2 linked regions of the Oryzias latipes genome follow. The protein of the gene in region 1 interacts with the protein of each later gene in a biochemical or structural test. Links are inferred from orthologs where the notes say so. Each region holds a gene or a part of one and is shown on either strand. Other genes may lie near its edges.

What was found. The genes of interacting proteins can lie anywhere in the genome.
Region 2: of the proteins of srebf1 (region 1) and sirt1, one has a biochemical effect on the other in vitro, tested with the Homo sapiens proteins (2 studies listed by BioGRID, with this or other methods). The link is inferred for Oryzias latipes from reciprocal best matches to the Homo sapiens genes SREBF1 and SIRT1.

What each region holds. Positions count from the first base shown.
Region 1 is NC_019866.2:12,399,179-12,405,072, forward strand, and holds the start of srebf1 (sterol regulatory element-binding protein 1), read left to right. Parts: upstream 1-1,824; 5' UTR 1,825-2,087; coding exon 2,088-2,193; intron 2,194-5,399; coding exon 5,400-5,894.
Region 2 is NC_019873.2:29,790,232-29,796,266, forward strand, and holds the start of sirt1 (NAD-dependent protein deacetylase sirtuin-1), read left to right. Parts: upstream 1-1,960; 5' UTR 1,961-1,995; coding exon 1,996-2,329; intron 2,330-3,035; coding exon 3,036-3,158; intron 3,159-3,233; coding exon 3,234-3,469; intron 3,470-3,549; coding exon 3,550-3,702; intron 3,703-6,035. Other genes in the region: dnajc12 (dnaJ homolog subfamily C member 12), read right to left, coding at 867-1,154. UniProt on the Homo sapiens protein: NAD-dependent protein deacetylase that links transcriptional regulation directly to intracellular energetics and participates in the coordination of several separated cellular functions such as cell cycle, response to DNA damage, metabolism, apoptosis and autophagy.

The sequences.
Region 1 (5,894 bases):
CATATGCTCTTTTAAACTGCTGCCAAGCATCTGACATTTATAGATTTTTTGCAAACATGCTTTGACTTTTATCTTTTTGGCGTATGCAAAAAAACAACACACACACAAAAATTTGAATTTTATCTTCTTTCCATTTTCCATTACGTCCCACTTGTGTCCATTTATTATGAGAAGCCATGCGTATAAAAAGCAGTTAAAACGCCACGTTTATCAGTATTTTATTATGCAATTGCCCAAGTGGAGAGAAACATTTATGATTTATAATTCTAAATACGGTAGAAATATTGGAATTTTATTTAGGCAACCAATTTTGATTTATGTTTCTCATTTCATACTATATGGTTACATGCATTTACCATGTCTACCTGGTGATTTTTGTAGCTTTTTAAACAACATGCACCATCCAAGCTGACAGTGAAAGGCACTAAAAATTTAACAAGGTATTCTTTTGAGTGTTGTTTGAGTGGATAACAGTGTATTTTTTGAAACATTGTTTCTCGAAAGTACAAAAATGAATTCCTTAATGTTTTGTCAAAAAAGAGGTTGCTGCTTTTTTTCTTCTTTTTTTTTTTTAAATGTCATTATGCAGGATGTCAACAAGTCAAAGATGGGGAGGGGGGACCTCAGGCCTGTTTTCTGTCTTTGGATATTCCATGCATAATGTCTGCTGTCAGTAATGATGGTCAGATTTGGGTTGGCCTTATGCACACATGTAACTGCCCAATAAAACACTAGCAGTGTGTGACCTCTACCTCAAAATGTTGTCATTATTATCCACTGTGTGTTATTTTCTCCGTCTTCAAATGTATATTGTTGCTACCCGAAAAACATAATGAATTATCTTTTAGCCTATATAAACTAAACAAAAAAGTTATTTTTAAGGTGTTTTTTATGTTCTGCGATTTTGCCCACTTGTGTATGTGCACATACCTCTGCAATATTAAAAAAGTGCTCACGTTGATAACGTCCCTACATTTGAAACAATACGGGTTTACATAAAAAAAAACAATAACTATATGGTGTTATTTAGGTCAGTGACTTACTCTCGCAGTTATTGTTATTTTACCCGTCTAATTTTGAGCTCATGTTTACTTGGGAAACATTGTTTATATTAGCAGTTGCTGATGTAGGGGTACATTTAATGTATTTACATGAAAAAAAACTTCATCATGGGTATTGAGGGTTTATTTCTAATTAAAATGTGAATAAAATTTAGCGTTATTGTATTTCCAAAGCAACAGGAGCGTGTGCAATTTGCTACCCAGCTGCCGACTCTACTTTTACAGGATGATTACATGATGTAATCACTAGATTCGTGGCTGTGACGTAGGATCACCCCACTCGTTTTCCGAGATTCCTATTGGTCAATTGTACTGGTTCTACAGAAGGAGCCCTCGCTTCGAGTCAAACAAACTTGGCTGCTAGTAAGGTGACGCCCATGCATCCGCTGATTGGCTGTTCAAGGCAAGCCTACAAAAAACAGGTACATGCTTTTTTTCGTTAACTTTCAATTTGGTAGAATATATTTGTGAAATTAATTTCACAAAAGTGGATTGTTGTACTTCAGGACTACTACAAGCGTATAATTATGTAGTTTTTGAAATATCGTTACTTATTCAAACTGTGTAACTTTAACAGTTTAACAAATGTTGATTTAAAAAAGTATATTTTGTAAAATAGTGACTTTTCTCTTTATAGTCATACTATTTTGTGTTTAATCAAAACAATCACAAGAAACGAGAACGTGAGAATCCTGTGCTCAGTCGCTGATAGGCCGGTTCATGTGTCAATCATCCACCAGTGGGGCAGGGTTCCTTCGGCTTCCACTACAAGCATGTTCGTGTTGAATGAGCTTCAGTGTTTGTCTCGGTTTGACAAGTTTCCCAGGTTTATTATGGTGGCAGGATTGAGTAGATAGTTGACACATGAGTAAAAACAGTTGATTGACTGGAAATTGCAGGTTACGTTGTAATCCGATACTCGGTCAAATGTAGAGATTTAAGGGTGCCATTTTTTTCCTCTTAAAATTTTTGGACAACTAGGCAAGTTTACACTAGAGCAGAGGTAGTTACATTACAACCGTAAAGATGAATCGCCTATCGTTTGATGATGCTTCGTTGGATAACCTGGATCCCACGCTGTCGCTAAATGACCCCAGCGATATCGACACGGCCCTCCTGAACGATATTGATGGTAAAGAAGATGCGACATGTTTGTGTTGTTAACCAGTTGTGTAAATGTTTAGACCAACATACCGCTATGCATTAACGTTCTTTACAGCGGTGCAAGTTTATTTTTACTGAGTTTATTTGTTCTGTTGATATAAAGTGTTAAACAGAGTTAGAGAACCGAAAGTTTGCAGGCTTAATTAGCTGTCGAATATTCGCTCAGAAGATTGGAGAAGCTACCGACGTTTGCCATCTAACTTACAAGTACTTTTAAACGCAAGATGGGACAATACATTGTGATGTTACTGGGGCATTTATACGTTTATCATACTATATGAAGTGGTGCAGTAAATCAAAAACAGCCATAAGCTAATAGTTTAAAGCTAACGTGCTGCTAAGTGGTTGTGAGTTGGCCACGCCCCCAGCATAATTCACAAGCAGGGGTTACTGTCGTTCATTCCTCTTTGCTGAGTTCAGGTTCCCCACTTGACCGAGTTATTGTTCTGTTTTTGCCGAAATAAAATGTTGTCATGGCTGATCATCATATGAAACATTTAAACGCCACAAACAATCCGCTTGTTAAACTGCCTTGCTATGCTCTTATTACGAAGATTTGTATTACCCGTAATTTTCATTACAAATTGTGTAAACCGACTTTATTACGATAAATCTGAAGCAATTTCTGGCAATTTACTTGTAATAGCAAATATTTATTTTTGATAGCGACAGACATGTAAGATGATAAGGTGGTCTGTGTAAACAGTGTTTGGCAATGCATGTCTTGCTAAGGTGATCCCGAAAATCTAACCGACAGTAACCCTCGCGCGGCTGCTCGATAGTAACCTCTCCTGAAGCAGCTCTCCCTCTCCTCTGTGTCTTGGGCTGATCGGCATAGCAAGTCTGAGAGGCGCGCTGTGATTGGTCAGGAGCGATCACCTCATGTGCAACGCTGCTTTAAATCCAGACGGTGTCCACTCTCTTATATTAGGTGTTCATTCATTCCAAATAGATTTAAAAAATATTTTGTGGGGAGAAAATTGTCTTTTGTTGAAGAATAAATTTAATTATATTTATAATAAAGGTCACCTTTTAATAATTCCTCAATTAAACACTATTTAGGTGATGAATCCGTCCGTCATCGTGCAACCTAAATGACAGTAGTTGCAAGACTAAAAAGAAGCACGTGGTCATTTTTCCCCAAAAAAAGAAAAAAAATAGCCAAGTAATCAGAAATAATATTAACTATCAAACAAGAATGCATGAAAAAAAAATCACAAGGAAGAAATCACTGTTCCATCTTTAAATTTAAGTTCTGTAATTGTCAGCTGTTACCACAAGTCATAACTTTGTTTTTATTTATTTACAAAAGAAGAGGAAAAAAAGAAATCAACCATAAGAAATTTTATATTTATATACTATTACATGCAACACTTTTAAAGAAAGGGGAAAAACACATTTTAGTCCCACTCCGATCATCTTGATTTATTTTAAAAGCATTCACATTGGTCTTTTTATCATGATTATGCCGTTTTTAGCCAAAATCAATAAACTTTTGTTGTTTTCTAGGACATAGTTTCTGCAAAGCAGCTGTAGTGTATTAGAATTTTGCCTCTTAGCTGAAATCTCAAAGCTGTTGGTGCGATGTAAGCCTGCCCACACTTCCCAATAGCCCTTTGTTTAGAGACTCTCTCCTGCTATCTTACAGCCCCTCAAACCCCCGACCTAACATTATTGGGGCTATCCTGCTGTACATTTTTGACCCAGATGCCAGCTCAGACGAGGAAAACAAAGACCTACACTAATGGCCTGCCATAGGAGCTTCTGTGTCACAACTACAAGTTTTTTCAAACTGCATTTTATTTCATCTGCTCCTTCATTAGAGTGGGTTAAAAAGCTCCCTATTTTATTAAATTCATTAAAAAAAAGTGTATTTCGTTTTAATGTTGAAAATATTGTTGGCTTTTGTCCGCTCAACAAAACAACTCCCTTCAACAAGCTGCATCGTTCCATCACTTGGGTTTCTAAATTATAATTTTTTTCACAAATATATCCGGTTATTTGAAACTGTAAATATTGTTTTAGTTAACTTTTGTCAAATATTAGGTGATCTATGGTTTGATGAATCGTTATCAATTAAATTAGATAAAAATAAGTCATTTTATTCCTGAGAAATTTGGTTGTAGAGGTCCCTGTGTCTACGTTTGTTGGGCCGAATCCAAATTCTTCCATTACCCCTGCAGTTATGGCTCATCGTGAAACAAGTAAAGCAACGCGTTTCTTCTCCCCACACATGTGCGATGCAGATTGCCCTACTGACGGAGGGATAACTAGCCCTAAGCTAGTCCCTACCACCTCTCCACTCAAGAAGCATTTTGGACACCACTACAGCTTCAAATGCCCCTACAGCTGGAGGGGAAGAATTTACATTTTATTTTATTTTTTTCCAAAGACACTTCCCCTAGTCTCAACCTTGTTGGTGAAATTATTGAGTTATGCAGTACGAGTAAAGTTAGTACTAAATTACTTTTAACGCTTATGAAAGCTAGGAATTATTTGAATATTCATGTTTTGCACCTGATGTGTTTCCCTTTTTACGCATTTAACATACAGTTTACCAAAAGCGTTCCAAGTGGTCTTTTAATGAAGATTAGGCTGTTTTTAGCCAAAAAAAAGTGTGTTGTTTTCTAGGACAGAGCAGCAGGAGTTCATCTGAAACTCGCCTCTGAGTTGTGGGAGGGGCTGTGGCCGCGGAAATAGACCTCCGCTCGTTTGCCGTGATCCCTTTGTTTACACGCTCTACCGCTGGCTTACAGCCCCCCATAACCCTAAGCTAACATTACTGCTGCAACAAAAATGGCGAGCAATATCAACGCTATCCAGCCGTGCAGTTTTGACCCGGAGGCCAGGTCGGGTGAGGGGGAGCAGGGAGACTGAGAGCATTTTCACATTTTCATCTGGCCCTGATTAACCACAGTTGGAATAATAAATACTCAGAAATGCAGTTTTAAGCTTCAATTCTTCTATACATGTCCTCCATCATGAGAAAAATGTTACAAGAACATGTTAAAAACACCAAAAACACAATCTTCATTGGAGTGGGTCTTTAACGCAAACCTTTTTTCTTTTTTTAGTGCTGCCTGAATGCGATCTTAATGTTCTGTTTTTGTTTCCCATTTGAACTGACGAGTTCTTGAAGATCGTTAATGGACTTTTTGTTTTTGTTTTTTACAGACATGCTGCAACTCATCAACAACCAGGAAATGGAGTTTGGAGGACTTTTTGACACCCACCCTTTTTCTGGGGGGACTCCCAGCCAGGAGGTTTCTAGTTTATCCCAAACCATCAACCCTGCTGCCTCCCCAGCAACCACTACCACGCCTGCCTCATCGACCTCCTCCATCCTAAGCAGTAACCCTCACCTGGACGCTCTTCTGGGCCCTCCCATCACACGGAGCTCTTCCACCCCTGACAAGGCCTTCCAGCCTCCCACTTTCCAGCAGTCCCCCCTGGCCCAGGTCCCCAGCACGCCTCAGAGGCAGCAGCAGCCATCACCCCCCCCACAAGCTCAGAGCCTCAAACAACCTCAAGCGGAACAGCCCCAAGTCTGTCCATCCAGCCCTGCTCAGGCAGCGTCGCCGGGGCCAAATCCAGCGCTCAGCTCCTCGCCGCAGGCAGTTTACGCCTCTCAATCTCCACCTGCACCTCCGACTCCTCTGCAGCCTCAGA
Region 2 (6,035 bases), on another chromosome or scaffold:
GCGTATAAACAGAATTATCGCTAAAATCTGTTGGTTGAATTTTAAACAATATGTCGACTTTATGTAATTTTTTCAACCATAACTCAAAATAATATGCATTTCTCAATTGACATTACATTTGCTATTTGATCGTGTAATTTGCAATTCTAATATTTTGAAATCAATATTTAAAAATTACAAATTAATATGACAATTTTCAAAATAAAATAAAAAAACAGCAATTGTCAATTGAGAATTGCATATAACTCTAAATTATTGGTGAAAAAAACTTCTATACCACTTATCTGTCCTGTTGAAATGCTAAAAGTCTGACCTTTATATTCAATTAACCGAGTGATCATACAAAACTGACTATCAAATAATTGATCCTAAGGAGCTGATCTGATCCATAAACCATCAAGAGGACTGAAAGTTTGAGTCTTTCGTGCAGACAGACTGGAATAAATCTGATATGAGACGGAAACACCTCAGCCAGGACTTTCAGAATAAAATTAAAAATGTGGTTTTCATTTTTGCAACTGTAATCTGATTACTTTCGAGGATCTGATTACTCCCATTTCTCTGGGTTTTGAGGGCATGTAAACCAGTTTGGCAATCGGATTATCCTGTTAACATGATCACTTCAATAGTCTGACTGAATAAATCAGAGGATGATAATCAGATTTTCGGTGGTCACGTCATCGGCTTCAACCACCTGTGGTCCGGGATTCGGTTCTGACGCCACAGAGCACAGAGCGCGTGCAGCATCTCTTCGTGCGTCACGTGGTCTCTTTTCTCACGATGATCAACCTGCAGGTTGTTAATGGTCGACAAACATGTTTTCCTTTTCCTGCAGCTCGGGCAGGAATGACGTCATCAGAACTTACGGACGACAGCTCGTCGCACCCCAGCACTCCGTAAAAATCCTCCCGGTCCTCCGGTTTACTGCGCAGAAGGGAATCCATGGCTCTTCTTTTACCGGACCGGATCTCTGCGGTTCTGATCCAGGAAGGTCGATGGACCAACTCCCTCTTCCTGGGATGCCGCTGAGGTTCTTGGTTCTGGTTGGACTGGGATTCTGCTGATAAATCAGCTGAGTTTAAAAGAACCGAACAAGCTCTCACTTTCTCACCAACATGTGACGTGGGTTGCGTTCGAGGACCCTCCTTTGTCATGGGAGGAAACACTCCCGTTTTGGGTCATTCCAGTTAATACTAAACCTCAAAAAAATAAACTCAATGTGTAAGTATATATTGTAATTATAGCGTTTATATTTTGATATGTTTTCAGAATGCTGATAGAGAAGTTCTTGATTTAAATACATTTGATTCAGTTTCTGCCTTTTTATGCTGGAATTCTCCAAATCCGTCAACAGAGGAAGAAAACGCTTTAAACTAAAAAAATCTAATACTTTTTACAGCAATAAAAAATAACTTTACTGAGAATGTTTGCTTAAAAATTCAGTGTGCAACTGTTTTCGTGGTTGTGATTTAGTGTTTGATTTACCAAGTTCATAGTGAAAGTCTAATTTTAAATAAGCATAAAAACCTTTAACAAGCAGAAAACCTTAACACTCGGTTTACTTTTAATACGTTTAACGTAATATGCAATAATGGTAATAATAATGTTCATGCATGCAATTTTATATCAGAGCTTTTTTTTAAAGATGGCTTTTATTTTTATAACTAATTATTAGTTAGTGTGACGTCTGCTTTGAAAAATAACCATTGCTAGCAGATAACTTTCTGGTCACTTGTAAATTCTTTGTCTGATACTGAACTCAATCTTATTTATTAGACATATTTACTTCGATAGTTAATGCTGCTGATAATCTTTAAATGAGGTGTTTTCACCTTCGTTATTTATTTTTTCCTTATTATTATTTTTGCATATGTTTTAATGTCTTTCTTTTGTCCGACCGTTCATGAAGGCATCAGTCATTTGTTATGGTAGACGTCATCACGCGCGTTATGCAAATGAGCCAGCTGTCTGCTCGGCGGCTCCTGCGGGCTGAAGATGGCGGACGACGAGAGCAGCCACCGAGCGGCCTTCTCTGGAGCCTGCGTTGCGGACGAACCCGCCGCTAAGAGATCGAAAATCACTCCACCGGACGACCGCGTCTTCAGATCCATCGAGGCGGAGCCGTTTTCCTACGTCTCCCCGGCCACGGAGAGCCGGGAGGCGGCGGTGAATTGCGAGCAGCGGGCCGAGAGGGAGGCGAAGCCGGCGATGGCGGGGGAGCAGGCCGCAGCGGGCGGAGACAACAATGGGCTGGGACTGCTGGGATGCGAGCCGCCGAACCCAGCCGAGAGGCTGAGCTTCGGCTTTGGTTCTGCTGAGGGGAGAACGGGTGAGTACTTCTGGTTCCCTGACGAAGGGCTCCGTGTTTTCATCGCTCGGAACGGCTGGTTGTTAGCCCGACGTACCGAAGATGAAAGGAACCGGAAGCGGCAGGAAACAAACCGATGCTCGGCGAAGTTCTCGTTCCTGTTCGAGAACTTCGCCGACTTTGACCACGTGACTCGTGTTGACCTAAAAGTCCAAACTTTGGCGGAACTAAACCGTTTAACCCAACTGGAAAATAGAGGTTTAAAAATCCATCAATCGAGTTCAGTCAAAAACTGAACTCCGGGATTTAATTTAAGGTAATTTCCCGGATTTTCTTATGTAAAGATAATTAATTATGAAATAAAAGCTCCACATTTATCCAAACATTAGAAATGATGAATTTCTAATTAAAGTTATTAATCTCAATAGAATAGATTTAGGTGTCATTAATGAATCTTAAGATCCATCAGTTATTGGTTTATTTATAACATGGAAATAGAAAACAGAAATCAGGAATTTTCCTTTATATTAAAATTAAGAAATTAACCAGGAATCAATGAATTCCCTTTATATGATTGAAGTTCTATTAAGTTGAGGTGGCTCCAATCAGAGCAGCTCCTTCAGCTGCATTTTAGTCATCCTTTCCTGAAGCATGAATACGGTCCGCGTCGTGTGGCGGCAGAGGTCTCGGCGTTCGGCCTTTGACCTGCCGGTTTTGCCCTCTTCAGGCTTCCTCGGGGCTGACGATCTTCCCTCCAACGGTCTCGCCGTCACACCAGAACACCTTAACGACGACGATGACGGATCCTCTCATGCTAGTTCCAGCGACTGGACTCCGCAGCCCCAGATCGGTCAGAATGAGGCAGGAATGTATTTTCCGCGTCTCCCTGCAAAGCCGTTGTGAGCTCAGGTGTGTGCGTGTGCAGGTTCCTACAGTCTGATCCATCAGCACATCAGAGAGACGGACCCCAGGGCCATTCTGCGGGACCTGCTGCCCGAGACCATACTCCCACCCGATCTGGACGACATGACCCTGTGGCAGATCATCATCAACATCTCAGAACCTCCCAAAAGGAAGAAGAGAAAAGACGTGAACACTGTGGAGGACGTGGTCAGACTGCTTCATGAGAGCAAGAGGATCATGGTTCTGACCGGTGCAGGTGTAGGTGTTTCAGTCCCCAGAAGGGCTTTTTCTGCCTTCATGTTGGGTAAAGAAACGGTAAACACCGGTTTGCTTCGCAGGTTTCAGTTTCCTGTGGAATTCCCGACTTTCGCTCCAGAGATGGGATTTACGCTCGGCTTGCTGTCGACTTTCCCGACCTTCCCGATCCGCAGTCGATGTTCGACATCGAATACTTCCGACGAGACCCCAGACCGTTTTTCAAGTTTGCTAAGGTTGGAAGGTTTTTTTTGTCTCTTCCTTCTCTGGTCCGGCCCAAGTTTACTAAACTAAAGCCCCCAAAATGTTTGTGACATTTAAATGATTTAACTCACACTTCTGACTAAATTCAGATGAAAAACATATTTCACTATGTGTCTATGAAGCCTCTCATTCATCCAGGTAGATTCCATCATAGTAGTGGGTTTAGGGGCCGTCATCTGGACTTAAGAGATGGTTCGTTGTGAAGGTCCTTCACATTTCCAATTAAATATGATCTTTTGTGATCTCCTGTTTGACCCTGAAATGACCCAGAAGTGACCGGCATGCGCAGAAGAGTCCTCAACGGTGACCGACGTCACTGTTGTTTATGGAAGTAGCTAACGTTAGCAATGGATGTCAACAACAGTGTTGTCAACAGCAGAGCTATTTTTGCTTTATTACATTTATTTTCACAAAGGAGCCAGAATAATTACAATCTTCTCATTTTAAAAAGAAATTTAAAAAGGAGGAAAGTTTGTGGCCATGGCGTTTTTTGAAGCAGTGTTAGCCAAGTCTGTACAGAGAAACGTGTGGAGTGGTGGGATACTGATGTGAGGAGCCAGGATCGTCTGTACCCTCAGCCATTTAGCTGGAAATGTTTTCAAAAACTGCCCGGTTACGGTAAGAGCCCTGGAGTTTGGCCTGAATAGAGAAATATGAATCCAATCGGTGACCTCACTTCCCTAACACTGACTGGTCTCAGCAGCATCTTCGCCATGGTTGATGTTTATGATCTAGTTCCTGCCTACTTCAATGCAGAATGATGACGTTTGTAGCGTATCGATGACGTACGGGTCGGATTCATGTGGCCTGGCCGCTCAGACAGAGGTCGAAGAGATCGGATACGTATTCGATTCAGGACCACATACCAAACTGGCTTGGGTCGCATTCGAAAAAATCGGATCTGTGTCGTTCAGACTGTCATGAAAAGATCAGATACAGGTCGCATAGGGGCAAAAAATTGGAATTGGGTCGTTTCAGCCTGCAGGGTGAACGTAGCCTTTTAGGCCCGTACACACCGGGACGAATTTCGTGCGCGATATTTGCCGGCGTTTAACGCCTTGTGACTAAATAAAGGGCACCAATGTGAGTGTGCACACCGACGCGAAAAACGCCACGAGTAAAAGCGTCATTTTTTAAAAAACGCCTCGGGTTCGTTTTTTTGGTTTGACGCACCGCGTCAAAAACTACACGACCAATGAGAACGGCGTTTTTGCACACGTGTCTGGAGCTTCTGCAGTTACAGTAAAACACAACTTGGGGGCGCTCAAACACAAAACTGCCTTGCTGAGCACACATACCAGCGAAGAAGATAGACGTCAAGTTGCACCTACACTGCCACGAAGAAATAAGACGAAGAAGATGCACTCACTGACGGACATTCTAAAATATCCCCGAAAACGCTCATGATACATTTTCAGCTCTTGTACCAGTCGATAAAACTCCCCATGTTCTTCTCTTCTTGTAACTATGGGATGTACCCAAAATCGACGTCTTCTCTGGCGTCCTTCATCATTAAACAGAACAATAATTTCTTCATCGCTGGAACTGGAGCTACTGGTGCTGGAAATATTCATGTTTTCTTTGTTTGATTCTGACAAGCACGTAAATACTTGCTCTCTTCTTCTGAGTGAAAAGCGACTTTAAGAAGCGTAAAGTTGCACAGCGCCACCTTGTGTACAGGAGTATTTCTGTTTACATTAAGCGCCATGTAATGTCAGGGAATGAAATTGCATGTTCGCTCGGCTCATCGTCAGCGAAAATCGCCTGGGTGTGAACACAAAAAACGTGTTGAAAAACGCTGGCGAATAACGCCTGGCGAATATTCGTCCCGGTGTGTACGGGCCTTTAGACAACAGGGTTTCGGGTCGTTAGGAGTCCTTTGTCCTCCTTGGGCAGGGTAGCTACTGTCGCCCCACCCCAGCTGAGGAAAAAGGACACCTAACGACCCGACACCACATGGTCTTAGTAGACAATGGCTACGTTCACACTGCAGGCTGAAACGACCCAATTCCGAATTTTTTGCCCCTAAGTGGCCCAATTCCGATCTTTTCATGACAGTCTGAATGACACAGATCTGATCTTTTCAATTGCGACCCAGGCCCCGTGGGTTTGCCGTCCTGATTCCGAATTGTAGCCGTTCTTTTCAATTGCGACCGCCGTCTTACCGGCCAGGCGACTTGATTCCGAACCGTACGTCATCGACACGCAACAAACGTCATCATTTTGCGTTGAAGTAGGCAGGAACGAGAACGTAAACATCAACCATGGTGGACGATGCTGCTGAGACCAGTCAGTGGAAGGGAAG